3 linked regions of the Tamandua tetradactyla genome follow. The protein of the gene in region 1 purifies or fractionates together with the protein of each later gene. This does not show direct contact. Links are inferred from orthologs where the notes say so. Each region holds a gene or a part of one and is shown in the gene's direction. Other genes may lie near its edges.

Region 1 (9,665 bases):
GCAATCCATCACATACAAGGGAAGCCCAGTAAGACTGTGTGCAGATCTCTCAGCAGAAACCATGGAGGCAGAAGACAGTGGGATAATATATTTAAATTATTAAAAGAGAAAACTGCCAACCAAGAATTCTATATCCAGCAAAATTGTCCTTCAAAAATGAGGGAGAAATTAAAACATTTTCAGACAAAAAAATCACTGAATTTGTGACCAAGAGACCAGTTCTGCAAGAAATACTAAAGGGAACACTAGAGACAGATACGAAGACAGAAGAGCGAGGTGTGGAGAAGAGTGTAGAAAGGAAGACTATGAGTAAAGGTAAAAAGAAGGAAAATTAGATAGGACATATAAAATCCAGAAGGCAAAATAGTAGAAGAAAGTACTACCCATGCAGTAATAACACTGAATGTTAATGGATTAAACCCTCCAATCAAAAGACATAGTCTGGCAGAAAGGATTAAAAACAGGACCCATCTATATGCCGTCTCTACTCAAAGGACATGAGGCCAAGGACACAAATAGACATTTACACACCAATGTTTATAGCAGGATTATTAACAATTACCAAGAGATGGAAACAGCCAAAATGTCCATCAACAGACAGTTGGCTAAACAAACTGTGACATTTACATAAGATGGAATATTATGCAGAAGTGGAATTGTTGGTTTGCAGAGGCATTTTACATTTTATTTAAAATCTGCCTGAGAGATTTCAAACAGAGTCAAGAGGTTATCCTGGAGGTTATTCTTACGCATTATATAGATATTCCCTTTTCAGTTTATGGTGTATTTGAGTGGCTGGAGCAAAGTACCTGAAACTGTAGAGCTGAGTTCCAGTAGCCATGTTTCTTGAAGATGCTGTATAATAATAAGGCTTTTACAATGTGACTGTATGATTGTGAAAACCTTGTGTCTGATGCTCCTTTTATCCAGGGTATGGACAGGGTATGGCATATATGAGTTTTCTCTTTTTTCTTTCTCTTGCTGGGGAGATGCAAATGTTCAAAAACAAATTACACCACTAAGTGGCTTGAAATGACAATAATAAATGCTCGTGCTTCATGGTTTCTGAGCTTCAGGAATTCAGGAGAGATTTAGCTGGGTGCTTCTGAAACAGTGCCTCTCATGATGAAGCTCCAGGGAGATGCTGGCCAGAGCTGCCATCACCTGAAGACTTTGCTGATGTTGGAAGATCTGATTCCAGGCAGATGGCTCAGCTGGAAAGCTGGTTTTGGCTGGAGACCTGTTTCACGGGAACCTCTCCTCAGGGCTGCTTGGGTGTCCTCACGAAATGGCTGCTCACTTCCACAGAATGAGCAATGCAACAGAGAACAAGAGGGAAGCTGCAATGCCTGGTTATCATCTGGCCTTGAAAATGACATGCCATTACTTTGTCCTCATTCTATCATTTGGAAGTATTCATGGGGAGTGAAAGTGAGTCTCACCTTTCGAAAGGAGGTGTTTCGGTTTGCTAAAGCTGCCAGAATGCAATATACCAGAAGCATATTGGCCTTTTTTTTTTTTTTTTGCATGGGCAGACACTGAAAATGTATTGGCTTTTATAGTGGAGATTTATTGAGTTACAAGTTACAGTTCTAAGGCCATGAAAATGTCCAAATTTCAGCACCAAGAGGATACTTTCACTGAAGAAAGGCTGATTGCATCTGGGTTTTCTCTTGTCACATGGGAAAGCACAAGGTGACATCTGCCAGCCCTTTTCTCCCTGCTTTTACTGCTTTCAGCTCCAGGTTCTGGTGAACTACTCTCTGAGATTCTGTCTGTCTCCAAGCATCTGTGTCTTTCTACTTTCTGTGTCCACAGAGTTTTCTCTCATAAAGAGCTTCAGGAAAGGATTAAGACCCACTTTGAATGGGTAGGTTCACATCTCCATGGAAACAATCTAATCAAGAGGTCCCACCCACACAATAGGTCTGCCCCCACAAGATTGGGTTAAAAGAATATAGCTTTTCTGGGTGCTTCCAAACCAGCACAGGAGGTGAGGTAAAGAATTTACAGATGTATTTTAAAACCACTACACTGTCCGAATTGGCTGTTCCAATCAACATTCCCATCAGCAACACATGTTGTGCTGGTTTGAAAGAATGTATGCCTCCTAGAAAAGCCATGTTTTAATCAAAATCCCATTTCATAAAAGTAGAATAATCCCTGTTCAATACCATATGTTTGAAACTGTGATTGGATCATCTCCCTGGATGATGTGATTTAGTTGAGTGGTTGTTAAACTGGATTAGGTGACCACATGTCTCCACCCATTTGGATGGGTCTTGATTGGTTTACTGGAGTCCTATAAAAGAGGAAACATTTTGGAGAAAGAGATTCGGAGAGAGCAGAGAACGACATACCCACAAGAAGCAGAGTTCACCAGCCAGCAACCTTTGGAGATGAACAAGGAAAATGCCTCCTGGGGAGCTTTGCGAAACAGGAAGCCAGGAGAAGAAGCTAGCAGATGATGCCGTGTTCCCCATGTGCCTTTCCAGATGAGAGAGAAACTCTGACTGTGTTCACCATGTGCCTTCTCACTTGAGAGAGAAACCCTGAACTTCATCAGCTTTCTTGAACCGAGGTATCTTTCCCTGGATGCCTTAAATTATACATCTATAGACTTGTTTTAATTGGGACATTTTCTCAGCCTTAGAACTGTAAACTAGCAACTTATTAAATTCTGCTTTTTAAAAGCCATTCTGTTTCTATATATTGCATTCCGGCAGCTAGCAAACTAGAACACATGTATATTCCCCATACTCACCAAATCGTGATTTCATCCCACTTTACATTTCACCATGTTGATGTGTCAAAAAGCGGCAACTTATTTGCATTTCCTGATTAGTAATGAGACTGAACTCTACTTTGTTTACAACCAGGGTACTTCCTTCTCTGGGAATGCTCAGTAAATATCCTTTGCCATTTTTCTGGCTGGTTGTCTTTCTAATTACTATTGATTTTTAGAGGTCCTGGATACTAATCTTTTTTCTGTTGTATACATCGCAGATTATAGTCACTGATTCAGTAATTTGCATTTCTTTTACTGTCCCAGTAGGTGATGATTCTTCACAGTATTTATGAAGTATGAAGTTATTCTTCCACTTTCATGTATTAACTTTTCATGTCCTTTCCCATTTAACTATTGGAATCTTTATATTCTGTTACTGTTTTCTATGAATTTTTTAGATATTAAGGCTGCCATTTGTTATCATTTAGTTGCAAAAAAATGTCTTCGCCTTCTTTTTAAGTTGACTGCCATCAAATTGCTTTGCAGGCAGGTCTGCTGCTCTTTTCCTTTGTGATATCTTCCACTGGGTTGAGGCTTAGAAAGTCTTCCGTCATTTATAACCATCCTTTAGCCAGTCTCCCTGCTTCCCATTTCTCTCTGCTCCAATGCTCTCACTTTGTGTTTACCGAGCACCAATTGAGTACCAGACCCTGTTCTGGGTGCTGGGATACAGCTGTGGAGGAGCAGATGAAGTTCTTTCAGAGGAGTTCCTAGGAAGTGCACACATCCACGGGAGGATATCAGAAAATCTGCACACCACAGCTACAGAGGCCTCCTCCTATCCTGCCACTTTCCTTCTCTAGAACTTTCCAGTGGTGAACCACTGACCTGACCTGGTATATTTTGAGATGGTTCTTCCAGCTCAGAGATGTGTCCCCTTTTCCCCAGCCCCTTCCCTTGCTCCTCTGGCTGCCTACTTCTCACCTGTTTCCACCCTCTTCATCCACCAGACCCCTTCTCCCACCTGTGAAGGTACTCCCTTCCCCTCTCCCAGAATGGGCTTCCATCTGTCCCTCTCATCTTCCCAGCCACACCTCCATCCTTGCAGGCCAGCTCTGCCATCGTTGCAGATCCAGGGGTCATGCTGCTTCTCTCTTCAGGGTCTCTCTTGATACGTGGTCCTCAGCCCTTATCCCCAGTCACCTCTGTGGGTGCCTTTTTTCTGGGTGCTCCTGATGTGTCCATGCTTCTGTCCTCAGCCACTTCTCCTGACCCCATACTTTCCCCCTCAGTGGGGTCCTCAGATGGCATTGGCAGGCCCCTCAAACTTCTTGGGGCCAAGAGGGCCTCATCTCTATTCCCAGTCAGCTCCTGCTCTGCCTTCCCTGTCCCCCACCATTCCTTTCGGGCTCTCCACTTACCTATCATTTGTCCATATCCTGGAACTTGCCCCTTTCCCAGGTTTCCAGCAGCACCAACCTCTGTTCTCACTTCCTGCCTCTCAGCCTCCTAGTCCCTGCTCTGCAGAGCAGCTTGTGCAGCCCAGGCCACTATGAAATGCAAATCAGCTTCTCTGCTGCCCTCGGGGTCAAGTCAAGCCTCCAGGGGGAACCTGTCTGGTCTCCAGTACTCCCTTCAGGCTCAGAAAACCCTGGGGCCCTCCCAGTCACTCACACGGCTGGTTCTTGCCTCCATGCCTCATTCACACTGTCCCCTTTCCTGGAATGCTTTTCCTGCTCTCCAGAAGTCTCCGTCTGTTGTACAGCTCAGGGGTCACCTCCTCCAGGAAGCCTTCCCAGGAACGCACTCATTAGGAATCTCTGCTCCCTGTTGGGTTCTCTGGTACTCTCTGGGACATCATTCCTCTTTCATTTATTGTCTTCCCCTCCCCCTTTCTTTTTAACCATTAGCACTCCCTGTCCACACCTCACCCCACCCCCTCTATAGGTCACCCCCACCCCATCTATCTTGAGACCCTGCACTGTGACATCTGCACATGGCCATCAGATGTGGTGTTGGAGGACCCGGACCCTCTTGGATGCGGTGTGGAGAAAAACAAGCTCCAAGAGTCCCCTCGGGACGACTGAGACAAGGCCCGAGATTTTGGAAACTGGACTTAGTCCAGAGTCCAGGTCAAAGGAAAATAAAACAACTTGTTCACACAGGTTTCTTCCACCTGACTTCCCAGGGCCTGGCCCAGACTTAGGCGTCTCCTTTCTCCAAATCCACCTAGAGGTTCGGCTACTGGTGGAGGAAGGAATGAATGAGGCAGGGAAAGAAGGAATGAATGAATGAGTGAGCGGGAGGGAGGGTGGGCGTGAAGAGGGTGGGGGGTGGGGGATGAGAGAGGGAGGGAGGGTGGGAGTGATGGATGAGTGAGGGGGGCAGGAGCGGGGGAGGAGGACGCGGATTTACGCTGAGGGACCCTTGCCAGGCGGGGGTCGGTGGTCCTCAATCCTCCGCGCGCTCCCCCAGGCGCCCGGCGCTGTGCGGGTGGGGCCTCCTCCGCGGAGCAGCTGCGGGCTCCAGCCCCTGTCTCCGGCCTTCTCTTCGCCTCTGCGCCTGCGCGCGGCCCACGTGACGCACCCTCCCCGCGCCCCGCCCCCGCCCCGCGAGTCGGCCTCGGCCTGCGGCGGCTCCCCAGGTGAGCTGCGAGGCGCAGGGCGGTGTCGGCGGCGGGCTGGGGAGCGCCGGCCCGGGAACACTGGCGGGGGCGGGCGGGGAGGGCCGCGGCGAGCGGTGTGGGCGCACAGGGGCGCGGGGCGGGCGCGGTCTGAGGCGCGGGGGCGGCGGCCTGAGGCGAGCGCGCGGCCTGACGTGGCGGGGGCGCGGCGGGGGCGCGGCGGCGGGGGCTGGCGGGGGGCGGGGGCCCCTGGGGCGGCCTCTTCAGCCGGGTAGGCCAGTGGCCCGCGGCGGGCCTCAGCGTGACCTTCCCCGCGGCGCCCCGGGCCTGCAACAGGCGGCTGCGGCGGGGCTTCGGGGCGCGGGGCGGGGCCTGACGCCACCTAGGGCCTCAGTTTCCCCGGCCGCGCGCTCGCGCTCTGGCCACCGTCTGAGGGGTTCAGTGTGGGGGTCCTGAGGGGACGCGGAGACCGCGCCGTCAGGGGCCAGGTCCTGGGGCGCGAGGCGGGGTCCCGCTTTCGGGGAGATTCCCCCCCCCCCCAGCCTCCCTTCCTGTCCTCTCCTCGCGTACCCCTGGCCCATCGCTGTAACTCTTCCTGCAGGCTGCCTACATCCGGGGTTCGTCTTGGGGCTCCTCGGAGGATCACCTTAGGACCCAGTAAATGGTTGTGCAGTTGAAATTCTTTCTGCCAGGCATACCTTCATTATAATTATTTTTCTGTCCAGTCTGTACTTGATGGGGGTCTAAGGCTTACTCTTTGATTCTCTGAAACTTTGGAAGGCATCGAGTGGGAATCTGGGATCTGGCTGGAGGGATCTGGGATCTGGCTAGAGGGATCTGGGGAAGAGCCTCAGGGTAGTCCTTTGTAAAATACGTCGGGAGGGGAGGGTGCCACAGCTTCAGCTTGGAAGAGCAGTCTTTATTCCAGAAAACAGGTGTGAGAAGGGAATCATAAAGGGTGTGCTGCATTTGGCTTAATTTTCTGTTTTTTTAGAATGCTGTCAATTGTGGAAATATGAATTTATCTATATATGTATAACTACATTTACTATATATTAAACTATATAGTAAAAACTCTGAAATGCGTTTTTGCATTTCAGTCAGAGCAAAGACTATAAAGAAACACTATTGGTGAGTTAGGCAGTTTCTCATGCTTCTCAGGTTCTCGTGCTTTGCTGCTTGGAGAATAAGTTGGCATAACCTGTATGCGGGGCAGTTTGACAATATCCTTTAAAATAAAAAATATTCGGTGTACAGGTGGTTCACTGGTAGAATACTCGCCTGCCATGTGGGAGACATGGGTTCAGTTCTTAGGCTGTGCACCCCAAAAATAAGAAATAAATTAAAAATATACTTTAAAGTAAAAATGACTCAGTAGTTCTGTGGCTCAGTAATTTCCCTCAGATAACTGCCACATGTATGTTGTGGCATGCATAGTTGAGTTGCGGGGCCAAACTGGTTGCAATAACAAACTGCAGGAAACCCAGATGCCCCTCCACAGAGGATTGTTCAAATAAAAATGGCTTTCCATATAATGGACTGTGCAGGAATAGGGTATATTTTCCTGTGCATCCCCTTCCTTCTGGAAAGTGGAATGATAGTTGCGTGTGGGAGAAGATTAGTTAGGATGTAGGTGAAAGAAAAACTTAAGTTTCATGGTATACTTTTCTACTGTACCTTTTGAACTAGAATCACGTGAATGTATTAACACACTCAAAAATAAGTGAGATTTTATTAAATATTTCAAGCTGACAGAAAAATACAGAGAATGATACACCACCTGTCCCATTCAAATCCTAATGCTTTGTCTTGCCTTTTCTTTTTTAAGAAATAAAACCTTTGGTCCTTCCTGGAGGTAACCATGACCTTGAATCTTATTTATCATTCCAATGTTTTTGTTCTGTTTTATACCATCATAACATCCATCTGTAACCAATATAGGGAGAGCATTGTTTTACATGTTTTCGAACTTTTTGTAGGCACAATTGTGCAATTTGCTGTGCCCTCTCTGTTTCTCTCTGCATGACTTTGAGGTTTTTCTGTGTTGACTGCTGTGGTTGGAGTTCTCCTTGGCTCACTGAAACTATCTTCTGGTATTCTGTTGAATCTCCAAGGCAGATGTTTCTGGGGTGGCTTGTGTTTGCTTTACGAAGAGGGTTCTCATATGCTGTCTTGAACATGTTGCGCTCTGTCGTGTGCCTTCTGAGCAGGGAATGCTTTCATTTTTCTTTACACACCCCTGAACACCTAGCTTAGTTCCTCAAGTTGTGCTTGTTAAATGGGGGCTGGGCCTACTCAAGGAAACAGCCTCCCAGTTTTGTGGACTTGTTTTTGCAGTAGGCATTGAGGGGTAGCTGCCTTCCACCTCTTCCTTTCCAAAGAATGGGGGGCTGCTGTGCTCCAGGTGGCGTGGGGCCCCCGCCTGGGGACTGGGTGTTTGTGATTGCAGCCAGTCTTCTCTACTGAAGAGGAAGCCAAGGCTTGGGGTTTGGAGCTAAGTTCCCAGAGTCATGTTGTCAGCAAGTGGTGCAGCTGGCCCTGGGCTGAGCAAGTGCATGAGATAAAACGCCAGCCGTCCGGGAGCTGGAATCTCCTGGGTAGGTGAGCCTGCTGTGATTGATGGAGTGTGGCCCTCGTGTTCTTTGTCCTGGGGAGAGAAGTGATTGAACTAGACCTTGACCAGCTCTGGGTTGTAGAGACAGAAAAACTGAGGCAGGCAGGTGAAGGCGGGCAGAGGGTGATGGGTGTCCATTTGGGTCTAAAAGCTAGCAACAGGATGTTGACGGAAGTACAGCTTGAAGGAGAGTTGAGCCAAATTTGGGGAGCCCCAAGTGGTACTAGGAGGAGGCCATGCTTGAGAAGTCAGGAATCAGAGGAGGGACGTCGTGGGACGGCCGTGTGGCCTGAGCGGGGAAACCGGGAAAGGATCAGACAGCAGGATAGCGAGACAAGTTTGGATGTCATTGCAGGGGTTGAACGAAGGTGCTGGCTGGGGGTGGAATGTGGGAGTGACTGTCTGAGACAAGGGACTAGAGAAGAATCGTAACTAGAGGCTCTGGTCTCAAGAGACGGGATAATTGAGACTGTGGGGCTTCTGACGTAGAAGGTGGTGTTTGTACCAGTAACAAAACCAGAACAGTCGGAGGGCTTCTGGCTGGATCAGGTGTGGAGCTGGAGGAGGTGTGTTTGAGGTGAGGGTACGCTCTTGGAACCGGGTGGGCTGGAGTATGGTGTGTTGAGTGAAGGGAAGGGTCAGAGAGAAGGGTGCATTGCCATGGGGCAGTTTCAAGGCAAGGGAGAGTCCCAGGTGAAGAAGTGGGCAGTGGCTGTACCTCGGCCCCTGCCATCTCTGCAGCCTTGGTGCAAGAGCCTGCCCAGGGTGGTGAGGACGGAGAGGGACATGGGTGGAGGCCCCACGCTGAGAGGCAGGAAGGCAGTGAAAGAGCGCACATTGGGCTGTTTTTTGTTTATTTAAACACAGCAACATACAAACACAAACATTCTTCCCATATGATCATTCCATTCTTGGTATATAATCAGTAACTCCCAATATTATGACATAGTTGTATGTTCATCACCGTGATCATTTCTTAGAACATTTGTATCAATTCATAAAAAGAAATGAAAAGAAAAAAGAAAAAAACTCATATATACCACACACCATACCCCTCCCTCTCGTTGATTGCTAGTATTTCCATCTACCCAATATATTTTAGCCTTTGTTTCCTCTATTTTTTTCTATACCCCTTATCACTCCCTTTCATTGATCACTAGCATTTCAATCTACTAAATTTATTTTAACATTTGTTCCCCTTATTATTTATTTATTTTTAATCCATATCCCACTAGGCTGTTTGATGGGAAGCAGGAGAGGGGCCGGAGTGGCACTGATGAGTGTTCAGAGCAAACAGGCCTTGGAGTAGGGAGGCAGGGGGGAGTGAGAGCAAGGCTCCTGGGCTTGGGGGGTGAGGAGGGAGGCCTCCTCTTTTCACATTTACATTAGAATCGTTTTTCAATTTTTCTTGTAAAGAATAGTGGGGAATTGGAGAAGAATTCCACATATTTGGAAGGGCGCGGTGGAGTGATGTGCAGTGGAGAAGGCGATGTTCACAGCCTTGGAGGAGGCAATGCGGGCCCCAGAGCAGCCTGCTGTCCACAGGCTGTCCTGCTTGGCTTCAGAGTCCATGGCAAAAGTGTGTTGGCAGTAGGTTTGTTTTACTGATTGGATTTCCTAGGCTCCTGTTCAAATCAGTTTGTATTCTTTTAACATAGGGACCCGGTTGTGAGAAGGTAACCTGCGATTTCCAACGTAGT
Region 2 (9,947 bases), on another chromosome or scaffold:
TGAAGCCTTAAGCCCATCCCTTTCACTCGTTAATATATACAGTGTATCTAACAACAAGCAGACAACAACTCTATACCTCCTATTTCCATAAAACTATGGAAAGGAGTAAAAAACATTATCATCCAGAGCCTGGATTCGTACAAGTGAAGCATTAGAAGAATTGAATGGTGATATTTTGACTATCTCTGTTGCAAACTCACCCCGTGGATTGGCAGTATCATTCTGATTACTGAAATCAGAGTCCTTAGTGCCTTTGAATCCAATCAGAGTAGAAAACCAATTGTAAAAACCCATTTTTAAGATTCTGTTTCTTAAGAACCACTCCTGGTACCAAGCTGTTATTAGGTAGGGTTCTCTAGAGAAACAGAATCAGCAGGAAATATCTGTAGATATAAAATTCATAAAAGTATCTCACATAACCATGGCAACGCAGAGTCCAAAATCTGTAGGGCAGGCTGTGAAGCTGATGACTCCAATGGAGGGTCTGGACGAACTCCTCAGGAGAGGCTCACTGGCCGAAGCAGGAAGAGAGCCTGTCTCTTGTGAATCCTTCTTAAAAGGCTTCTAGTGATTCGATTAAGCATCACTCACTGCAGAAGACACTCCCCTTGACTGATTACAAATAGAATCAGCTGTGGATGCAGCTGACGTGCTCATGATTTAATTCTATAAAATGTCCTCATAGCAACAGACAGGTCAGCACTTGCCTAACCAGACAAATGGGTATCACCATCTGGCCAAGTTGACACATGAACTTGACTATGACACTGTGTGATTGTAAAAACCTTGCATCTGATGCTCCTTTTATCCAGACTATGGACAGATGATTAAAAAAAAAAGAAAAAATAAACAAATAATGGGGAGATAAAGGGTAAAAATTGGGTAGATCGAAATACTGTGCGTCAGTGAGTGAGAGGAGTAAGGCCTATGGATGTATGAGTTTTTACTTCTTTTTCTGGAGTAACACAAATGTTCTAAAAATGATCATGGTGATGAATACAGAACTATGTAATGATATTGTGAGCCATTTATTATAATAATATGGTTGGATTCTATGTGTGTGGATATCTCTCAATAAACATATATAAAAAAAGATTATCAGAAAGGCTTGTTAACTTCTTTTTTTTTGAACCTAATGCTTTCATTCATTTCTTCCTGCTGCTCCTAGTTTTTGGTTTGTTTATTTTTTAATTTTTCCTGTCTGACCTAGCACTTACATGTATTTTTTTTATTAATTAAAAAAATTAACTAACACAACATTTAGAAATCATTCCATTCTACATATGCAATCAGTAATTCTTAATATCATCACATAGATGTATGATCAAGAATAAACTTGGAATATGTCATTGGTAACAGAGACCATCAGGAGTTAGAAATAGGGTAAGATAATGGGTAATTGGAGCTGAAGGGATACAGACTGTGCAACAGGACTGGATACAAAAACTCAAAAATGGACAGCACAATACTACCTAATTGTAATGTAATTATGTTAAAACACTGAATGAAGCTGCATCTGAACTATAGCTTGTTGACTTCTTGAGTCTGCCTGTTTTGTTTTTGAGTGCTGGTAATCCTTGGGTTTTTTTGGTGTTCTATTTCTGGCTCCTGTTGTACCGCACTGCCTTTTTACCATGCTGATATTTACAATGATGATGCAAAACAGTGGTGGATAAAAGTGTGTCTTAGAACAAATCAAGGGAATAATATAAACTCTATTAGTAAACACTTTATTTTTCACTATCTTGAACTTGTAAAAGAATTGAGTTTAACTTAATACTGTCCCTGCTGAAGTGCTAAAATTATGAAACGTGTTAAATCTTTAAACTTGAGGACAAGTCCTTTTAATATTTTATGTGATGAAAAAAGAAGTACATGTAAAATGCTCCTGCCCCATACTGAAATACAGTGGTTGCTTTAGGGATAAGCATTTGTGCTAATGAGTTGCCAGCTGACAAGTTGAACACTTTTCTATGGAATACTATTTTCTTAGTTAAAAGAAAGACTGACAGAGGAGTGAAATGAATCTACCACTTCACAGAAAACAACTGACAGAATTTATGGCCAATAAGAAACAAGTTTCCAAGTGAAAATTAGAATTTCAGTAAATTTGCATCTTGCTTCAATTAGACAGAAAGCTTCCTAATAACTGAAAATTTTTCTGAAGAGCTGAGGGGTGATATTACTGAATGTGATTGTTTGCTACTGCATAACCAAAGAAGTGAACATTTGGAAAAGCAGCAAAAGGTAGCATAACACAGTGAAACAACATATAAAAAATGACTAATGCATAATGTTACAAAATCATATGGGTATGGCCCCCACCATAGGATCAACAGTGCCATACTGACCAAAAGGGGGAAGCAAAGTGTAAGAAATAAGGTATCATTGGCTGAGAGAGTTCAAATAGAGTTGAGAGGCTACTCTGGAGGTCACTTTTTTTTTGTATGCTGTATGGCAGTGGTCATATTTTATTCTTTTTCCATGTGATTATCCTGTTATTGCAGCACCATTTGTTGAATTTTTTAAAACTTTTTAAATGATATAACATATACACAAAGTAAAGAAGGAAAAAAACAATAGTTTTCAAAGCACTCTTCAACAAGTAGTTATAGGACAGATCCCAGAGTTTGTCATGGGTTACCATACGATCCTCTTAGATTTTTCCTTCTAGGTGCGCCAGACATTAGGGGCTAGAAGGAATATATCTATATATCATCCCATTTTTTCTTTCTTGTGAAAAATAACATATATACAAAAAAAGCAATAAATTTCAAAGCACAGCGCAACAATTAGTTGTAGAACAGATTTCAGAGTTTGGTATAGGTTACAACTCCATAATTTCAGGTTTTTACTCCTAGCTACTCTAAGATACAGGAGACTAAAAGAAATATCAATATAATGATTCAGCAATCATATTCATTTGTTAAATGCTACCTTCTTTGTTTAACTCCACCACCATGTTTGATCTTTCTCCTACTCTTCAGGGGTATTTGGGCTATGCCCATTCTACCTTTTTCATGTTTGAAGGGCTGTCAATAATAAAGGGTAGGGAGATGATGTTCTGGGAAGGCTAGCCCCTCTAGTTTCAGGACTTTATCTGGTCCAGGGTCCCATCTGGAGGTTGTAGGTTTCTGGAAAGTTACCCTAGTGCATGGAGCCTTTGTAGACTCTTGTATATTGCCTTAGGTGTTCTTTAGGATTGGTTGGAATGGTTTTGGTTGGGGTTTGGCAAGTTATGATAGGCAGCAAAGTCTAACTGAAGTTAGGGTAAGAGCAACCTCCAGAGTAGCCTCCTGACTCTATTTGAACTCTCTCAGCCACTGATACCTAATTTGTTATAGTTCTTTTCCCCCTTTTGGCCAGGATGGCATTGTCAATCCCATTTTGCTAGGGCCAGACTCATCCCTGGGAGTCACCTCCCATGCCGCCAGGGAGTCTCTCACCTTTGGATGTCATGTCCCATGTAGGGGGGAGGGCAATGATTTCACTTTCAGAGTTGGGCTTAGAGAGAGTGAGGTCACATCGGAGCAATAAAAGATGTCAGAGGTCACTCTTATGCAAGCTTCAGTTAGACATTGCTACCATCGTAACTTGCCAAACCCCAACCAAAACCATTCTTGCCAATCCTAAAGAATACCTAGGGCATTAAATAGATTCTAGAAAGTTTCCATGTGCTAGGGTAACTTTCGAAAACCTACAACCTCCAGATGGGTCCCTGGACCAGATAAATCCTGAAATGCCCAGGGGCCAGCCCTTCCAGCGCATCAACTAGTTCCATCCTCCTATCCTATATTGTCGATAGCCCCTTCCAACATGAAAAAGTTAGCCCAAATATCCCTAAAGAGTGAGAGAAAGATCAAAGGTGATGGTGGAGTTATAGATAGAAGGTGATGGTGGATTTAACAAATGAATATGAGTGCTGTAACAGTATACTGATATTTCTTTTAGTCTCCATTACCTTTGAGCAGCTAGAAATAAAAACCTAAAATTGCGGAATTGTAACCCATACTAACCTCTGAAATCTGTTCTACAATTAATTGTTGTGATGTACTTTGAAATTTATTGCTTTTTTGGTACGTATGTTATTTTTCACAAAAAAAAAGAAAAAAGAGAAGGAAGAATATAATAGAGAAGATAGGATTTAACGAATATGACTGCTGAATCAACATATTGATATTCCTTTTGGTCCCCAGCGACTTGGAGTAGCTAGAAGAAAAAATGAAAAGTCATGGAAGCGTTACCCATTCCAAACTTCAAAATTTGTTGTACACTACTTGTTAAAATGTACTGGGAAATTTATTACTTTTTTGTATGTATGTTATCTTTCACAATAAAAAAGTAAATAAAATCATATGTATAACAGATTCATTCAAAGTGCAGGCTAGACCAATAGATACTAATGCTACAGAGTAGGAAATGTTTATTGATGTGGTTTTAGATTCCATATTACAACTAATGTTTAAGAAAGTACCGCCTATCGAAAAAAGTATTCACATTTTTTTGAAAAGAGTTAAAACCTTCCTTTCATTTTCACCTACCTACATGCGTGACTGTGTTTTCTTCATATACTTCACCCGAACAAAATACTGGACCTAGTGAATGCAAAGCAGATGTGGAATCCTGTTGTTTTTCTATTAAGCCAAGCATCAAAGAGATTTGCAAAAATGTGAAACTATGCTCCTCTTCTCAATAAATCTTCATTGCTCTGAGAAACCATATTTTTTTCATAAAATATTTTCACACATATGTTTATTAGTATTATTTAAAAATGAATACATAAATATATATATATTTACATTCTCAGTTTTAATTTCTAATATGTAAATATCCATAGGTATAATTCACATAAACAAAACCTGTTTGGAGCACTTGACAAATTTTAAAATTTCAAATAAGTTCCAAGACAATAATTTCTGAACCACTGCTGTAGGACAATGTAAGGGTTAGACTTTGTTCTTTACAATTTCTTAGAGCCCCATACACTGTGAATATATACAACTTATGGATTTTACTTCATTATAGATGTAAATCATTTCTATTTACTAGAAAAAAAAAACCCCATGGTTTTATTATCACGTAGGACAACAAACACCTTTTCATCTAACCTAATAACTTTACTCTAACATTGTTTTCTCAAAATGTATACAAATACCCAGTTCCTGAAAATGCTTTTGAAAAAGAAATGCTCTTTGAGCCAGCTTTACCATTTTACTTGCTTCTTCATTATTTTTTTGAACGAAATCTTGATTTGTTCATTTAATATTTGCATGTGTCAGGCTTTTAACTTTTTGAAAAGCATACTTTGACAGATACTTATGCACCCATGACATACATACGACATAGATGACATAATCTCACAGTGGTGGCATAGTGGATTCTCTAATTCTGCATCTAAATTAATAGATGCTCTTTTAAATTAATATACAATTACATTCACTTCACATTTCTTTTCTTCTCATTTTATTTATATGCCACCTTGAATTTCTCCTTATGCAATGTTTTGAATTTCAGTTTCAACTCTGTCATTAACAAGAAATGTACACAACCCACATACACGCATTTTACCCTAACTGACCCACTAACAAAAGCAGTTCCAGCTTTAACCACGGGGTTCGGGATATGTAAGCGGGAATTCCCCCTTATCTTTATCAAGCCTCCTACAGACCATGCGACAAAAACTGATGGATCACGTGACACCTGTGCCCCCATGCCTGTGCCTTCAGCACTATTCCGCCCATTTCAAACATGGTCACTAGGCGTCAGCAATAGCTGGCTTTCTTGTATTTAGCAGGCGCTTCCATTCGTGTATCGGGTTCTTTCAGCAATGGTCGGCTGGCCAGCAATCCAGGAAGGGGAAGTAAAGACCTTGCCCACGGTTCGCGGCCAAAACGCAGCTCCGGGTTTGCCCGGGGAAGGGGAGCCGCGTCCGGACCAGAAATTCCGCGGCCGCGCTGTCCGGAGGAGCAGTTAGCTGCAGCACGCCGGAAGTGGCTTGTTGGGTCTGGTCGCTGTCGGTCGTACCCAGGCAGTGTTTGAACTGTCCTCCTGGCTGGTCCGACGACATGGAGCCTGGGTCTACGGAGTTATACGACCAGGCCCTACTGGGTATCTTGCAGCACGTGGGCAACGTCCAGGACTTTCTGCGCGTCCTCTTTGGTTTCCTCTACCGCAAGACCGACTTCTACCGCCTGCTGCGCCACCCGTCCGACCGCATGGGTTTTCCGCCGGGGGCGGCACAGGCCTTGGTGCTGCAGGTAACCGCGGAGCTGGCAGCCCCGGGCTTCTGTCCGTCTGCTCTTCCGCCCCGTGGCCTACCACTGAGGTCGGCAAGGCCTTGGCAGCCTCAGCCTGGCGGGGAACCTGCGCCCTGAACTTCCCGGCCAGTCCTGGCTGTCGTTCTACCCCCTCCTCTTTCATGTTGTGGGACAATTTACTTCTGCCAACTACAGTTTCCTCTTTTGGTGATTCCCGAGTCCTACCCGACAAGGTGGTAGTGATGACCAGATGAGATAATAGTCATGCAAGCTCTTTGTAATCAGAAGTGCTGCTCGGTATCAGGTTATTTCGTGGAGCCGTGATAGGATCTTAAGCAACCAGGTTTTATACATGATATACTTCGGTGTCAGATGTAGTAAACAGGTTTTTTTAGGGCCCAGTGCGACAGGAACTGGTAGTGATGGAATGAAAACAATGCAGATATTAGGTCAGACTGGAGGCACTTGAAATTTGCTTCAACAGAGATCCGCGCGACCCAGATTGGAGGTGGAAGGGATGGCTGTGAAACTGTTGATAATTGGGAGTGATCACCTTGTTTGAAATGTGAATTCCTAGGTCAGAAACAGTCATTAACAGTGATCACTAAGTTTGCATTTGTGTATGTATATACGTTTCTTGAATGTTTGAGGAGCTATTAATATTCAGTGAAGTTGATTGTATATTTTTGTATGTAGTAATAAGCAAGTATTTACTGAATGTATTTTATATTCTCAGCTGCCACGGGCACTGGAGATGTACTGGTAATATGACGTATTGTTAATGATCTTTTCTTCCTGTGACATTTAAATTGTTATGTTTAAGAAGAAAAAGCACAGAAAGTAGTTGAGAACTATTCAAGAGCCATTTATGTGATAGAACTTACGGCGCTGCTATCGGAAGGAAAGAAATATAAACTACGATTGTAAATCAAGAAAAGTTTTGTAGAGGTGGGACTTTTGATACTATTGAAGGTATACACTAAGCTTGAATCTGTTTATAGGAACGGGAGAATATAGTAATGATGAGACCTCCCACAGTTATCTAGAGCTTTGCAGTTTATAAAGTGCTTTTGGATGTTATCTCTTGAAGTCTTACTGCAAGATCGCTGAAGCAGGTCGGTCAGGTATTATTTTGCTCAATGTCTGGATGAAGAAACAAAAGCTTTGAAGGGGTGAGTATTTACCAAAGATTATATGGTCAGTTGAGTGTCGGGACTCAAATGGTGTTCAGTTTCAGAACTTAAGGCTCTTTCTTATCTTTGTCAGTGGCATAAGTGTGAGCCAAGTGATCAAGGAACACTATAGAGATAATTTTTAGCAGAACCATAAAGCAGTTTAATTCTTTCACATGAGTCTTGGTATTTGAACTTCACAATGTCCCTGTAAAAATATAAGGTTGAATTTTATGTAACAGATGAGGGTTCCAATTGACTGAGTTCAAGTTATTTGACACACAGCTAGTTCATCATAGAGCTGAAACTCAAAACTTCAGTTTTCTGATTCCAAGTCTTTCTACTCTATCATTTAATCATTCTACAGTACAGAAAGAGCGTTTTTGTCTGGGATGATTATAGCTTGTAGAAGAGAAGTGGAGGAGAAAGGAACATTTCCTGAGTACCTATTCTGTACTACTTATAGCTGATGTTTTACATTCTGGGAAGTTAGGTTATTTAATCCTTACCACAATCTGAAAGGTTGATGTTTGCCCTTATTTTACAGGTGAACTGACAGGTAATTTATTTGTTAACCATTTATAGAATGTGTGTTTTGTTCTCAACGCTCTTTTAGGCTAAGACTTGTAATTGGTTCCTTTGTGGAACAATTGAAGTTCAGAGATGGGAGAAGCAAGAGGTGACATATGAGTAGTAGGGAATGAGAAGTAAGTGAGCAGGGCAGTAAGTGTTGCATAAACCAAGGAACAGAATTTTCAGATGATGGTTAAGAGGGCGTAATGATTTCTGGTAGTGGTTCCTAACTTGGAAGTGTCTGAGGAACTAAAAGCACACATTGCCTGGACATTGTGAAGCCTGGGGATGTGTTCTTTTATTTTACAGAAGCCCATTTGATAGGATACTTGTGAAGGTGATTTCAACATTGGTCATGGCATTTGTTGTAGGGTAGGGCATTAAAATACTGAATTAGATTAAATAACTTGGTACTAGTACGGAATTGTCTCTCAGAGGTGGGAACTGGGAAAATCTTGGGAAAGTTACTTCACTTTTGTTGATTGAGAAGGTTGATTGGAAGACCACAGATGTCTCTTCTAGAAAGTTGTACGATTCTGTGATTTTAAATGAATACTGAGAGTATAGTGATTGGGAGGTCAGAAGTGATGTGGGGCAGCATGTTTGGAGATCACAGATGGGCTGGTTGTAGAAGGTTGGAAGTGCTAGGTAAGCAAAGGTGGAGAGCATGGTGACATCCTGTATTAGAATCTCCAGACATGCGATGAAGAGAGTCCTTGCTGTTGCTTTGTTTTGGTGGCATTAAGATGAGCATTTGGCATGTTGATGGGCTGTGGTCTGGTCAATGGATCCAAAGCCTCATACACGTGGATGCTCTAGAGGGCAGAGTTGGGTTCAGGTTATCCCAAAAAATAGAAATGAATTTGGTGCTGTTTCTAGTTTTTAACTTGAGGGCTTTTATTTGTTTTCCCTTTCTGTAACTACTCTCACTGTTTGGTGCTTCCTTGTAATTAAAGAATTCTTTTCTCTCGCTTGCAAGACTGTCAGCAAACTTAACTTCTCTGTCTTATTTTTCTCATCTTTAAAGCATTGATACTGTTTTCCTCATAGGATTGTCACAGAATGTGAAATCCTTGGCATAGTACTATCCTTGGCATAGTACAGTATGTTAGCACTTTCTTTTTTCTTTTTTCCTTCCTGGTGCATAAAACGCCTTAATATCTGACTGCATTCTAGCCCTTCAAAATCTGATTTCTGCCCACTTTTCAAGACTGATCTCTGTCTTTCCAACCTTGTAAGAGGAGACCGTTGATTCAGCTACTGTAGGGTTTTTTACTGTTTCTGGATGGCACTACTTTTGGTACTTGTTGCTCATCTGTTTATCCTAAAGTGACATTTCCTCCTATAGTTTTTTTTTTTTAAATTAAAAAAAAATTTTTTTTACATAGTCAGCCACCGGGAATCCAACCCGGGTCCTCTGGCATCACAGACAAGCATTCCTGCCTGCTGAGCCACTGTGGCCTGCCCTCCTCCTATAGTTTCTTATGGAAGCTCTACTTCATTCGAAGTTTAGTTCAGATCCCCTTCCTTCCAAGAAAGAGGACTTTCACCAGATATACCCATTCCCATCCTTATAGACTGATAAGACATTACATCTGTTTATCACAGCCTTTCTTTACCAGAATTGTTTGTGAAGGTTTACTTTGCTAGACTTCAGGTGTCATGTGTACCCCTTGAATAGTGCATACGAAATGTCATGTTATACATGTACTTTTTTGGTGAAGATGTCCCCATACTTTTCATGGGTGTGACTGTTTCCCAGGAAAGGGTAAGGGCTGCTTGTGCACATACCACATTCACACCACAATTTTGAGTCGTAGGAATAGGAGCTCTCATTTGATTTGTTGTACTCCTTCCACATTGTAGGCAAATATTAGATGTCTGCTGAATTGAATTTCCAAGCTTTCTAAATCTCATACGTATCTCTTATCAGCCCTTGCAGTAT
Region 3 (10,346 bases), on another chromosome or scaffold:
ATGTTTGCTAAAAAAAAAAAAAAAAGTGTCGGACAGAGTGATATATGGATGAGTTCTTATGTTCCCAGTCTTTCCTCACTAGTTGCAAAGATGTTTCAGTGATCAGGGTAGATTGACCCCAACCGTATTTGGTCTGTTCCAGTAGCCTATTGTTTGCTGTTCCTCTTAGCAATTTCCAAACAAGAGTCTAATGTATCCCTGGCATCAGTCTCCTCATCCCCAACAAACTCATTCATAACTGGCAAACACCTGTATATGTACCCACACCCAACTTCCTTACTTCTCACTGATATTGAGAAATAACATGTAAAATCATACGGAACAAAAAGTCTACAATTTTTGCTCTTAAAAGCGCCTGTAGGGCACAAAGTTTCTGTTCGGGGTGATGAAAAAGTTTTGGTATAGATGGTGGTGTTGGTAGCACATCGTAAGTGTAATTAATGCCATTGAATTATATACTTAAAAGTGATTAAAGGTCAAACTTTGTATTATGTATATGTTACCACAGTACTTTTTTTTTTAAAAAGAAAATAGCGGCTTTTCTTTTTTTAAAGAAAATCAGCTTCAGTATTAAGCAGTATTGATGTTAGAAAACTTGTTGAATGAATGAAATTCCTATAATTTGCAAGGCCTTCTCCAGTGCCTGGAAGACAACGGAAGAGGAAACCGAATGGAATAGGAGAGACAGGAGACCCACCCGCCCACTCCCTACTGCCGACCTCTGGTCGCCGGGCGCCGGGACAAGAAGTTAGGGTCACCCTGAATGCCAAGGTCAGGGCTCTCCAGAGGGGGCGTGGTTGGAGCCCTTTAACCCCTCCCACGCCCAATGAGAGGGGCGGTCTGACGCACAGCGGTCTGTGCGGCGTGACGCCATCACGCTCCAGCCGGCGCTTCCCCGGCCGCGCGACAGGATAGACTCCGTTCCTAAGGTGAGCGCTTTTTGGAGGTCGCTGCTCCGAGAGGGGATTTCGGGAGCTCGTGAGTCCCGGGAGAGGCTGAGGCGTCGAGTTCCGCGTGACCTCGAGGTTGTCCGAGGAAGGGGAGATGGAGGGATCGCTCCCAGCCGTCCCCAGGCCGGGCGGGGTGGGCTCAGCGTTGACTGATCCTCAAAGCCGCATATCTAGCGGGGATGGGGGCGTTCGAGGGAGACAGGCTGTGAGCCTTCTGGCAGCGTCAACCCGGCGAGATGTGAAAAGGTGAAACACCAGTAAAGGCCAACGTTTATTCGCATTAACGACCGCTTTACCGGTTAAATCCCCAAAGCATTCCTTCGTTTAGGCTCCCTTATCCCCATTTTCCAGAGGAGAGAACTGAGGCTGAGAGATTAAACTTACTGATTTGCCAAGAGTAGAAAAATGGGAGGTTGGATGATTAAGGAAATAGTGGAATGTGTAGGAAAGTAGTGATTTCAAAAGACGAACAAAAGCTGTTTCTGAATTTGGGCAGTTCTAATGACAAAAGTCATTTGGCGAGTCATAAGCACCCTATTCTTAGTTTTGGAACTTGTTTTTCAGGTGACCAAAACCTCATAATGTCAATAGCTCGCTCTTCTGTCCATGCCAAATGGATCGTGGGGAAGGTGATTGGGACAGCAATGCAAAAAACTGCTAAAGTGAGAGTGACCAGGCTTGTTCTGGATAACTATTTATTAAAGGTGAGGAGCATCCCTGCTTTCAGCACCCACATGTTCCTAGAACCTGGGTAGAAAAACACTTCTCTACCACTAAAGATGTGTCAGCTGTTGCCAAACACTGAGTAGCCTATGTGTATGCCAGGTGAATTGGTCGTGGGCCTTACTTACATTCTGGGGAGACCTAGAGTTAATTTCAAATCAGTCCAATGCCTGCTGTGGTCATTCTATATGCAAATACTGTGAGATAGGGAATAGGAAATGTCATTCTTTCCTCCCAGGTTGCTGGAGAAGAGCATCCTTGATTAAGAGACATTTGAGCTGAATCTCAAATAGGATTTTATCCAGAGAACCAAGTCAGGGAAGTCGTTCTGGCCATGATTAGTATGTGGACTTTCATTTGGCCATGAAAGGGCCTGATCCAGCAGGGTGGACCCAGAGAGTGGACTGTTGGTAGGCAGACTGGTTGAATGAATGGCAAGGATAGTCGAAGCTGGACCATGAAGTTTTTTTGTGTGTTGTGTTTACAAGTTCAGATTTCATTCTAAAAGCAAAGGAAAGATAGGCTTGGAGACAATTAGAGATGGAGGATGGGGGTAAGGAAATCAGTAAAGAGGTTATTGCGAAAGTCTAGGATGGAAATGATGAGGATCTGAACAAAATTTGAGTCAACAGGGCTGGTGTGACAAGAGTAGATTTTAGGAAGAAGGGATAAGAGTCATTGGTTTCTTAGATGTACAAGGAAGAGGGACACACCAAAGATGGTTCAGCATTCCAGCTTGGGTGAACAAAAATGCTGTTCTTAACTTAGACTCTAAAACCCAGGAGCAAGCAGAAGAGTGACAGCTTGATTTTAGCCTTAGAAGCAGAAGACCTGAGTTTACTTAATGTGCACAAATACCTGCTATGGCAGGATGGTTGTGAGTCTGGCGATTCTAATTATCATTTATGGCTTATTTAAACACTTTGAGACAAGCATAGGATTAAGTTCTTTACATACAACGTTTAATCCTCATGATAACTTTATAGATGCAGCTATTAGAGCTCTTTTTATTGGGGTGGGGGGGGACAGATTGGGGTGATTAAGTGATTATGTCCCAATCATACAGCTTGTGATAAGAATAGCATCTTTATAGGCTGGAGAGAAGGCTCCCAATGGGAAGGGAAAGTTTAAATAATTTCGAGAGAGATGATAACTGATAGAGCAAGGGTCCTAGCAAGTTCAGTGATAGGATCAGCTCTGGAATAGTCATTGGTGTTTTCCAAAGAATAAGCAGCTAAGTATCTTCTTTTCCCAAGTCCCAGTTTGCTCTCTGTGCATTACCTTTTATTCCATATTGCATTGCCAGATCACAGATGTGTGCTACTAATTTGTTCATCTCCTTCTCTCAACAGTATTTTAATAAGCGGAAAACCTACTTTGCTCACGATGCCCTCCAGCAGTGCACTGTTGGGGATATCGTGCTTCTCAAAGCATTACCTGTTCCACGAACAAAGCACGTAAAGCATGAACTAGCTGAGATCATTTTCAAAGTGGGAAAAGTCATAGATCCAGTGACAGGAAAACCCTGTGCAGGAACCACGTACCTGGAGAGTCCAGTCACTCTGGAAACCACCCACCTAAGCAAAAATCTCAAAGAACTTAGTGTCTCTTCAACACAATAAAAGAGAATTGGAGAAAAGCTGCCAAAGGGAAAGACAAGTTTGTTTTATGGAAAAAGAAACTTTGCTAACTCTCATCTTAAACTGTGTCCAGTTGTTCTTCTGATATTTATGAAGTCAATAAAAGTAAATTTGGTAAAGGGCTTGTTATAAATTTTCATAAAGATTATGGTCAGAGTTCCAATTTCTTTTTTCAGTGAACATTAAGTTCCTGTTAAACTGTGTGCCTAGCAGTTTGCTGCATCATTTTGCAAGCTCATTGCTTTAGAGGGTGTATTATTTTTTTCATTCTAAGGAATCTCGAATTTATCTCAGTACTTTTATTTTGGGAGAAGAAAAACTATTGCTATTATAAAAAGATTAGATCACACTAAGTGTTTTGTTTTTGTCTTTTTTTTATGGTCTATATTCAGAATTCTTTTTTTTTTTTTCTGAGTTCACCAATTCCAAAGAGAAATAACCAACATGCTCGTGGTCAGACTTTGTCAGATTAAGCTGTATTAATAAAGATGTTAGCAAGTAGAAAATAAAATGTAAGAATTCTGTGTCAGTTTTTTTATGTCCTAGATCCTAGATCCTAGGCTAGATTAAATAGGCATGAGTTCTTAAAATCTGACACATTAATGAAGTTGTAGGATTTCTCCCATGCATCTGAGTTGGAAAGTATCTGCATTTTTGCTATTCTTTAATGAACTGTGATGACTTAGATTTTGACCTGAGGAAAAATTTAACTATATATTTCAGTTTTCAGGTTCCTACAAAGAGACTTAGAGCATAAATTTCAACTTCAGCAAATAGGCCTATTGTCCTCACAGTGTTTCAACAGTAACCACGGGCACCCTCAGGGCTTACAGTCTAAAGCAGGAGGTGGGCACGGGTGCCTTCACAACAAACATGGGTAGGGGAATGGTGGGGAAAATGTGTAAGTAAGCCACAGGCTCTTGGACACCTCTAGCTTGAGGCCCCATCTCCTGCTCTGGAGAATTGGGGGCAGCTTGGGTCAGCCTTCCTTTGGGGCCTATCCAGCCTTTGTAGCCCCTCTAACCAAGACCCGGTGAAGGCAAGAAGTCCCTCAGCACCAGCCTCTGGCTTCCAGGAGACAGATGCTTCCCCAGCCACTCCTCCAACCACAACTTTTTCCTGCCTGGTGGCTCCTTGTCCTTTTAATGTGTTCAAATTCTGCCTAGTCCAAAAGCCTCCACCCTCCCTTCATCCCCAAGATTCCCAGCTTCAGGGCAGCCCTCAATCCACAAATCCAGTTCCCCTCCCCACTGCCCAGATACAGAAACCTAGTGGCCAACTCAGGAGGGAACTCACCTCTTGTTCTCTCCCCAGCCCACTGCTTCCTTGAAATGCATTTTCCCTGTCACGCCCCCTCTGAGGATCTAACGTTTTCTGCCCAACTTATCTTTGCCGCAGTTTTTCATGGCTACATCGGTGACTCTTATTTTCCCACGGGATACGGTTTCCTTAAACAGTGTCTCCCGGGCACACGCTTCTTCACGTTGTGCCCTCTGACAGGGATGTCTTCCCTTCTTCCGCAGGGGAGCAGCCCTGGGAATTTTCCCGTGGTCTATCCGCCACCCAGCCACCCTCGGTCACTTGCGCTTTCTTGCTTCCTTCGCGTCTTGTGAACCTTTCCATCTCAGCACTTGACACACTCGTCAGGTCACATCCTGTCCCCATTAGAGTGGCCGCGTGAGGACAGGGACGGGGGTCTTTCGGTGGCCAGAGCCCATGGGTGCTGAAGTGAACAGGAACAATGTAGTCACAAGACTGCGAGAGTATTTTAGTAAGTTCCCATCTAAAATGCCTTTTACTAAAGTGTTGATTATGTTTTGGAAAGGTAATTTTCACATGGCACCAAATTCGAAAGATATTCGGGGAGAAACCACCCACCCACACATGTCGCTCGGCCTCCCGCTTCCGCCAGGCAACGGTGTACTCTGCTTGTGAATCCTTCCATTCATATTCAAGCCATGCTCGTGTTCCCTTTGCACACCCCCTTCTGGGCACCGAGAGCTTTCGCAAGATCTTGTTCGGCAGGCGGTGCTTTTCAGGCTTCCGACTACTTTCGACCCACCGCCCAGCGTCCCGCCTCGGGCTCGGCCGCGCGCCCTGCGCCCCCTGGCGGCCGCGCCCCGCATTGCCGCGGTCGCGCGCCCCGCCCCGCCCCAGCCTTGTCGGCCGCCCGGCCGGGGGAGGGGTCGCAGTGGCGGCGGCTTCGGCGGCGTCACGGCGGCGCCCGGGCGGTGGGAGCCGAGGCGCCGGAGCAAGATGGCGGCGCGAGTGCTACGGGCCGCCGGAGTGGCCTTGGCCGGCGGCCTCCTGCAGCGGGCCGCTCCCCGCAGCCTTCTGCCCGAGCTCCGGTGAGCAGCGCCGCCTTTTCCGGGAGCGACCAGGGAGGGGCCGTCCGTGGGGCGCAGGGCGCGGGGGTCCCTGGCGGGGGCCTCCATTTCGGCTCGGCCGCGTGCCTCACCCGACAGGGCGGTCCAGGCTGCGCGGCGGCGGCGGCGGCGGCGGCGAGGCTGCGGCTGGCGGGATCGGCGGGCCGGAGCCTCGGCAGGATCTGAGTGCCTTCCCTGCCGTCCGGGCTCAAGGTCACGACGGGGACGGACCGCGCGCAGCCCCGCCTCCGCCCGGGACGGCCCCTGCTGCCCGGCGCGGAGGCCACGTCCGCCCGCCCGCCCGCCATGGCCGGGCCTGCGGGATCTTGACCCGGAGCGCCCGGCCACGGCTGAGGCCGCAGGCCCTGGACTCGCCCTGCGGGTTCCGCCTGCAGCCTGAGAAAGCTGCTCGCTGCCCAGAGCCTCGCTGCGTGCTCCTGCAAAGCGGCCGCAGGGATGACACCTCTTAGGTTGTGGCGAGCATGAAATAAAATAATGCATCGCCCCCGGTGAGCCCTCAGTGGGGGCGGGGGGGGCGTATCTTAGGGCGTGATAGCGTTATGAACAGTCTTTTTGCCTCGGATTTTAAAGGAGATAGTGAGTGGATCAAAAAGTATTATACACTTGTCAGCACCAGGCATTGAGGTCATGTTTAAAGTTTTTTTCCCAAACCTCGTTGGAGTAATTGTTCGTTTTTCTGAATCTACCGTCTATATCCATATCCACCTCCCATTTTCCAAATTCAAAAACTAAATCCTAGAGTAAGTTACCATAGATTTGCTTTGTTTTCTCGTTTTCTTTACCTGGGTGATTTAAATGTTACTTTTTAAATTACCATCCTCTACAAAGTATAGTTGGCACTTGGGGAAAAACGAAAGAACTACCTGTGAAACTCTTAATATAGGCCAGGAAGCTTTAGATAAAATGGCAAATTTAATCCTAATCATATTCTTAAAACATAAATTGTAGAATCTACATTTTACAAATGGGGAGAGGGAACCTCAGAGAGGGGGAGAAATAGCCAGAAAATTCATTTGAATCCAAATTTCTCAGGCCTCAGACCCAGCACCCTTCCTAACATAAGGTTCGCCTTGAATTTCTAAATTCTTTAAATTTGATATTTATGGTTTCAAACTGATTAACAACAGCTTCCTTTTTTTTTTCCTGTTATTGAGCATTCATGGTGTGCCTTATCACACAGATAATACAAACCCAGGAACTTGGTATTGTCCACTTTTCAAAAGACAGCCTAGAATGTGTTCACCTAAGGTGTTCAAGGTCACAGAGCTAGTAAACTGGAGATTTGGACCTGGGTCTGATACCCCCACTTCCTGCAGAGGCCACATGCTGTTGACACTGGAGTCCTTGTGTATTTCTGACCTGTTGGTTCTCTAATTATTCTAAGAACACTCTGAGATCTCCTGGGCATTTTGCCACTCTATTCTGGCCTCTAGTCTGCCTTGACAGGCAGTATTCTCTGAGCCTCAGCCTAGACCCAGTTAATTCACTCATCCCCTCACATAGTGAGCTCACACAATGTACTTGGAGCCATATGGAACTACAACAGTGAGCAAAATGGCCACAGTCACTGTCCCAAGGGATCCATGGTAGGTGGTAAAAATCCACATAGACTTAGAAATTGAGGTACATGCTAAGAGAGAATTGGGGAATCTGCCACGTGAGATCATGGAAGGATGTTAAGCTGAGACCTGAGTCAGACAGATCTGAGTAGGAAGGAAACCCAAGAAGAGTGTAGAGGACTAGAGTTCAAGAACAAATGGAAGGCGACAGGCCAGAGGAGAGGTGGCAGGGAGCAGTGGCCAGAGGACTCCAGGTCTTGCCTGGAAGCTTGGACTTTTTCCAAGAGCTATGGAAGACATGTAAAGGTATAAAATTTAGTGTCGCTTGGTCTGATCTGTGTTTTTAAAAGATCAGCCTCTCACAGTAAGAAACCAGAAAATATTTGTTAAATGAATGAGAGAGTGACTGAATCAATGAAGAGCTGGAGTTTTCCTAGAAAAAATACAAATTATAAAAATGGACTTAAGTAGAAGAAAACAAAAAATTTAAGACCAATCCTATTTGTATATTATATGTATATATAAATGTATATGTATATTTTCTAACTTTTAAAAAAATCATAAATATTAACTAAGTTTGAATTCAGCTTTATTTTAAAAGTCATACACTGTGATCAATAATTTAATAGTACCAAAATCGCTAGTAGAATATTTAGCCAAATGTCCACTGAATTGTTATACTAGATATCAAAAGGTATTAAGTGCTTAGTCATAAAAATTTTGAACATTAAATTTTCAGATAATATGGACTCTTCAGTCAAGACATGGGTTTTTCATTTTTAAACATTTCCAGGGAACTGATAATGTTAAAATTAGACCAGGAATTATAATAACCACATAGTCTCCAAAAGCAATTCCAAATGGTATGTTTGATTTCACATATGCAGCCTTCAAAGTAACTTTCGTGAGTCAGGTATATTGTTTATCCTGTTTAATTGAGATCACTATGGCTGCCACATTCATTCACTTTGTATGTGCAAATCTGTTACATCTTCACATCAGTCATGAATTCTTCTTACTACTGTTAAAACTTGGTACACAGTCTTGCAGTCTATGGATGGTGAATTCGTTCATTTAGAGAAACAAACAACAAAAACCAATTATTCAGGCTGCCATAAATATCCCTAAAGAACATGTATGACCCATCTGGATATGACCGGCTTTATTTCTTCATTCATGTTCTAATAGACCCCTACAACTTCCTTAGAGTACTAAGCAAGTGCAAAAAATCAGTTTTTCATATCACAGCTAAAGTGACATCCCATGTGAAAAATGACTGATTTTTTTCTAACTACCTTATTGTATAGGTAAATCTTTTTCCTGCTTCTCAGACTATTTCTGAAGTACACCTTCAATCTTAAACTTACAAAATAACTCTTTTGAATCAAAAAAGTGATCAGCCTGACTTCGGAGAGGCTACAGAATCAAAGGTAATGGGCACCTGCTAAGATGTTGGTGCTGTTTACTGAGAGGTGTTTGTTTCACAGATGTCTGGGTGCCCACCAAGTGCTGGCACTGTTGGGGAACATCAGTGTGTAAGGCATACATGGTCTTTGCCATCAGGTTGATTGCTAGGAAATCACAGAACAGGGATCAGGGCAGAGCAAGGGGGCAGGGCAGGTGGTATGGAAAGACGGATCTGGGGCAGTTTTGATTCCGGTAGAATTTGAGATGGCTGCAAGCTATTCACATGGACACACCTAGTAGGCAGTTAGCTTTATGACCCAGAGCTTAGAGATGTCTAGGCTACAGGTGACACTTGGGAGCTTTCAGCACATAGGAAATGCCAAAAGTGTTGATAAGTAGTGATGGGTACATGGGTTTTGTTATTTTGTTCTCTCTCCTGTTTTTGTTCAAAACTTTTCATCATAAGATTTTTTTTTTTAAGCCAGAGGAATGGATGCAGTTGCTTGAGGAGAGAAGGCAGAAAGAGAAGGGACTGAGAAAGGAGTCCTGGGAGGAGCCAAGAGTGACAAGCTGGATGGAGGAAGAGGAGCTAGCAGAGAAGTCTGGGGAAGAGCAGCGAGATGGGTCATTGTTAGGGGATGGTGCCCAAGGAGAAGATATTTCAAGGAGCCAGATGCTGCTGTGAAGTCAAGGAAGGTGACAGAAGGAAACTGGATTTGCCTTCATGGGTGCTGTGGGTGGCATTGCAATAGCAGCCTGAAGGGAGGCAGGAGGACTTCTGGAGACTCGGCCTGACTGTGCAATGGCCAGCAAATCTCCCTTAGCTTGCTCAGTGCAGGCCCAGAGTTTCGTACAGGTGCTCAAAATACTTTATGTGTGCAGAATTTAACTCCTCTTCCTCTTACAAAGCCTCCTCCTAGGTTCTCTGTCCCCAGCAACAAAACAGCTTCCATTTAGTGGCCCAGGCCAGACACCCAGAGGTGTCTGAACCTTGACTGTCTCCTGCTCCTTTTCCCTTCCTTTTCTCCCTACCAAGGAAAGCTATAAATGACATTTTGGAGATAACTGGGGGCATTGATATGGAATGGATGTTGTATGTTATGGAGTTTGTATCTTTCTTAAGTGTGGTCATGGTATTGTGGTTTTGTCTTTCTTAAACGATGCATGTCAGAGTGTTGAGGGGTGAACTACTGTGATGCATGCAGTCTGCTTTCAGAATAAAGCAGATCTGTATAAAGAAAAATTCAAAATGTGCTAAAATGTTAATACTTTTTGAATCTAGATGAAGGGGTCTTCATTATTCTACTCTTTCTTTGTGTTAGAAGTTGTTCAATGTGGAAAGTTGGAACAGCTCTCTGGCAGTGGTGTAGAAGACATTTATTTGGGTCAGGAGGGGGATGTTGGTGGGGAGGGTGATTGGGTGGCTGCTGCTTTAATAATGCAAAGCTCCTTCCAACCTCTTCTCTCCTCCCCGCCTGCACTCCTCACTCCACCTATTTACACACTCCGGGATTTGGCAAGGACTTGCTCTGCTTCTTAGTGGATGTTTTCCTGACAAACTGCCCCTCCTCTTTCAAGTCCGCAACTCAGGACATACGATGCAAGTCAGTCTGGGTCTCCCCTGTTGCAGACTTGGCCTCTGTTTGCTCTGCCCTTCATTCCACAACTGTGGCCATACAT

Evidence for each region.
Region 2: the proteins of KLHL22 (region 1) and NUDCD3 purify together in Homo sapiens (co-immunoprecipitation; 3 studies listed by BioGRID and IntAct, counting the BioPlex papers as one, with this or other methods). This does not show direct contact. The link is inferred for Tamandua tetradactyla from reciprocal best matches to the Homo sapiens genes KLHL22 and NUDCD3.
Region 3: the proteins of KLHL22 (region 1) and NIPSNAP2 purify together in Homo sapiens (co-immunoprecipitation; 3 studies listed by BioGRID and IntAct, counting the BioPlex papers as one, with this or other methods). This does not show direct contact. The link is inferred for Tamandua tetradactyla from reciprocal best matches to the Homo sapiens genes KLHL22 and NIPSNAP2.

What each region holds. Positions count from the first base shown.
Region 1 is NC_135331.1:27,298,098-27,307,762, forward strand, and holds the start of KLHL22 (kelch-like protein 22), read left to right. Parts: upstream 1-5,328; 5' UTR 5,329-5,372; intron 5,373-9,381; exon of another isoform or gene 9,382-9,555; intron 9,556-9,665. UniProt on the Homo sapiens protein: Substrate-specific adapter of a BCR (BTB-CUL3-RBX1) E3 ubiquitin ligase complex required for chromosome alignment and localization of PLK1 at kinetochores.
Region 2 is NC_135327.1:65,912,385-65,922,331, reverse strand, and holds the start of NUDCD3 (nudC domain-containing protein 3), read left to right. Parts: upstream 1-5,742; 5' UTR 5,743-6,065; coding exon 6,066-6,257; intron 6,258-9,947.
Region 3 is NC_135349.1:18,619,977-18,630,322, reverse strand, and holds the start of NIPSNAP2 (protein NipSnap homolog 2), read left to right. Parts: upstream 1-5,517; 5' UTR 5,518-5,569; coding exon 5,570-5,661; intron 5,662-5,977; exon of another isoform or gene 5,978-6,174; coding exon of another isoform or gene 6,175-6,188; intron 6,189-10,346. Other genes in the region: MRPS17 (small ribosomal subunit protein uS17m), read left to right, coding at 1,532-1,654, 3,026-3,295. UniProt on the Homo sapiens protein: Protein involved in mitophagy by facilitating recruitment of the autophagy machinery required for clearance of damaged mitochondria.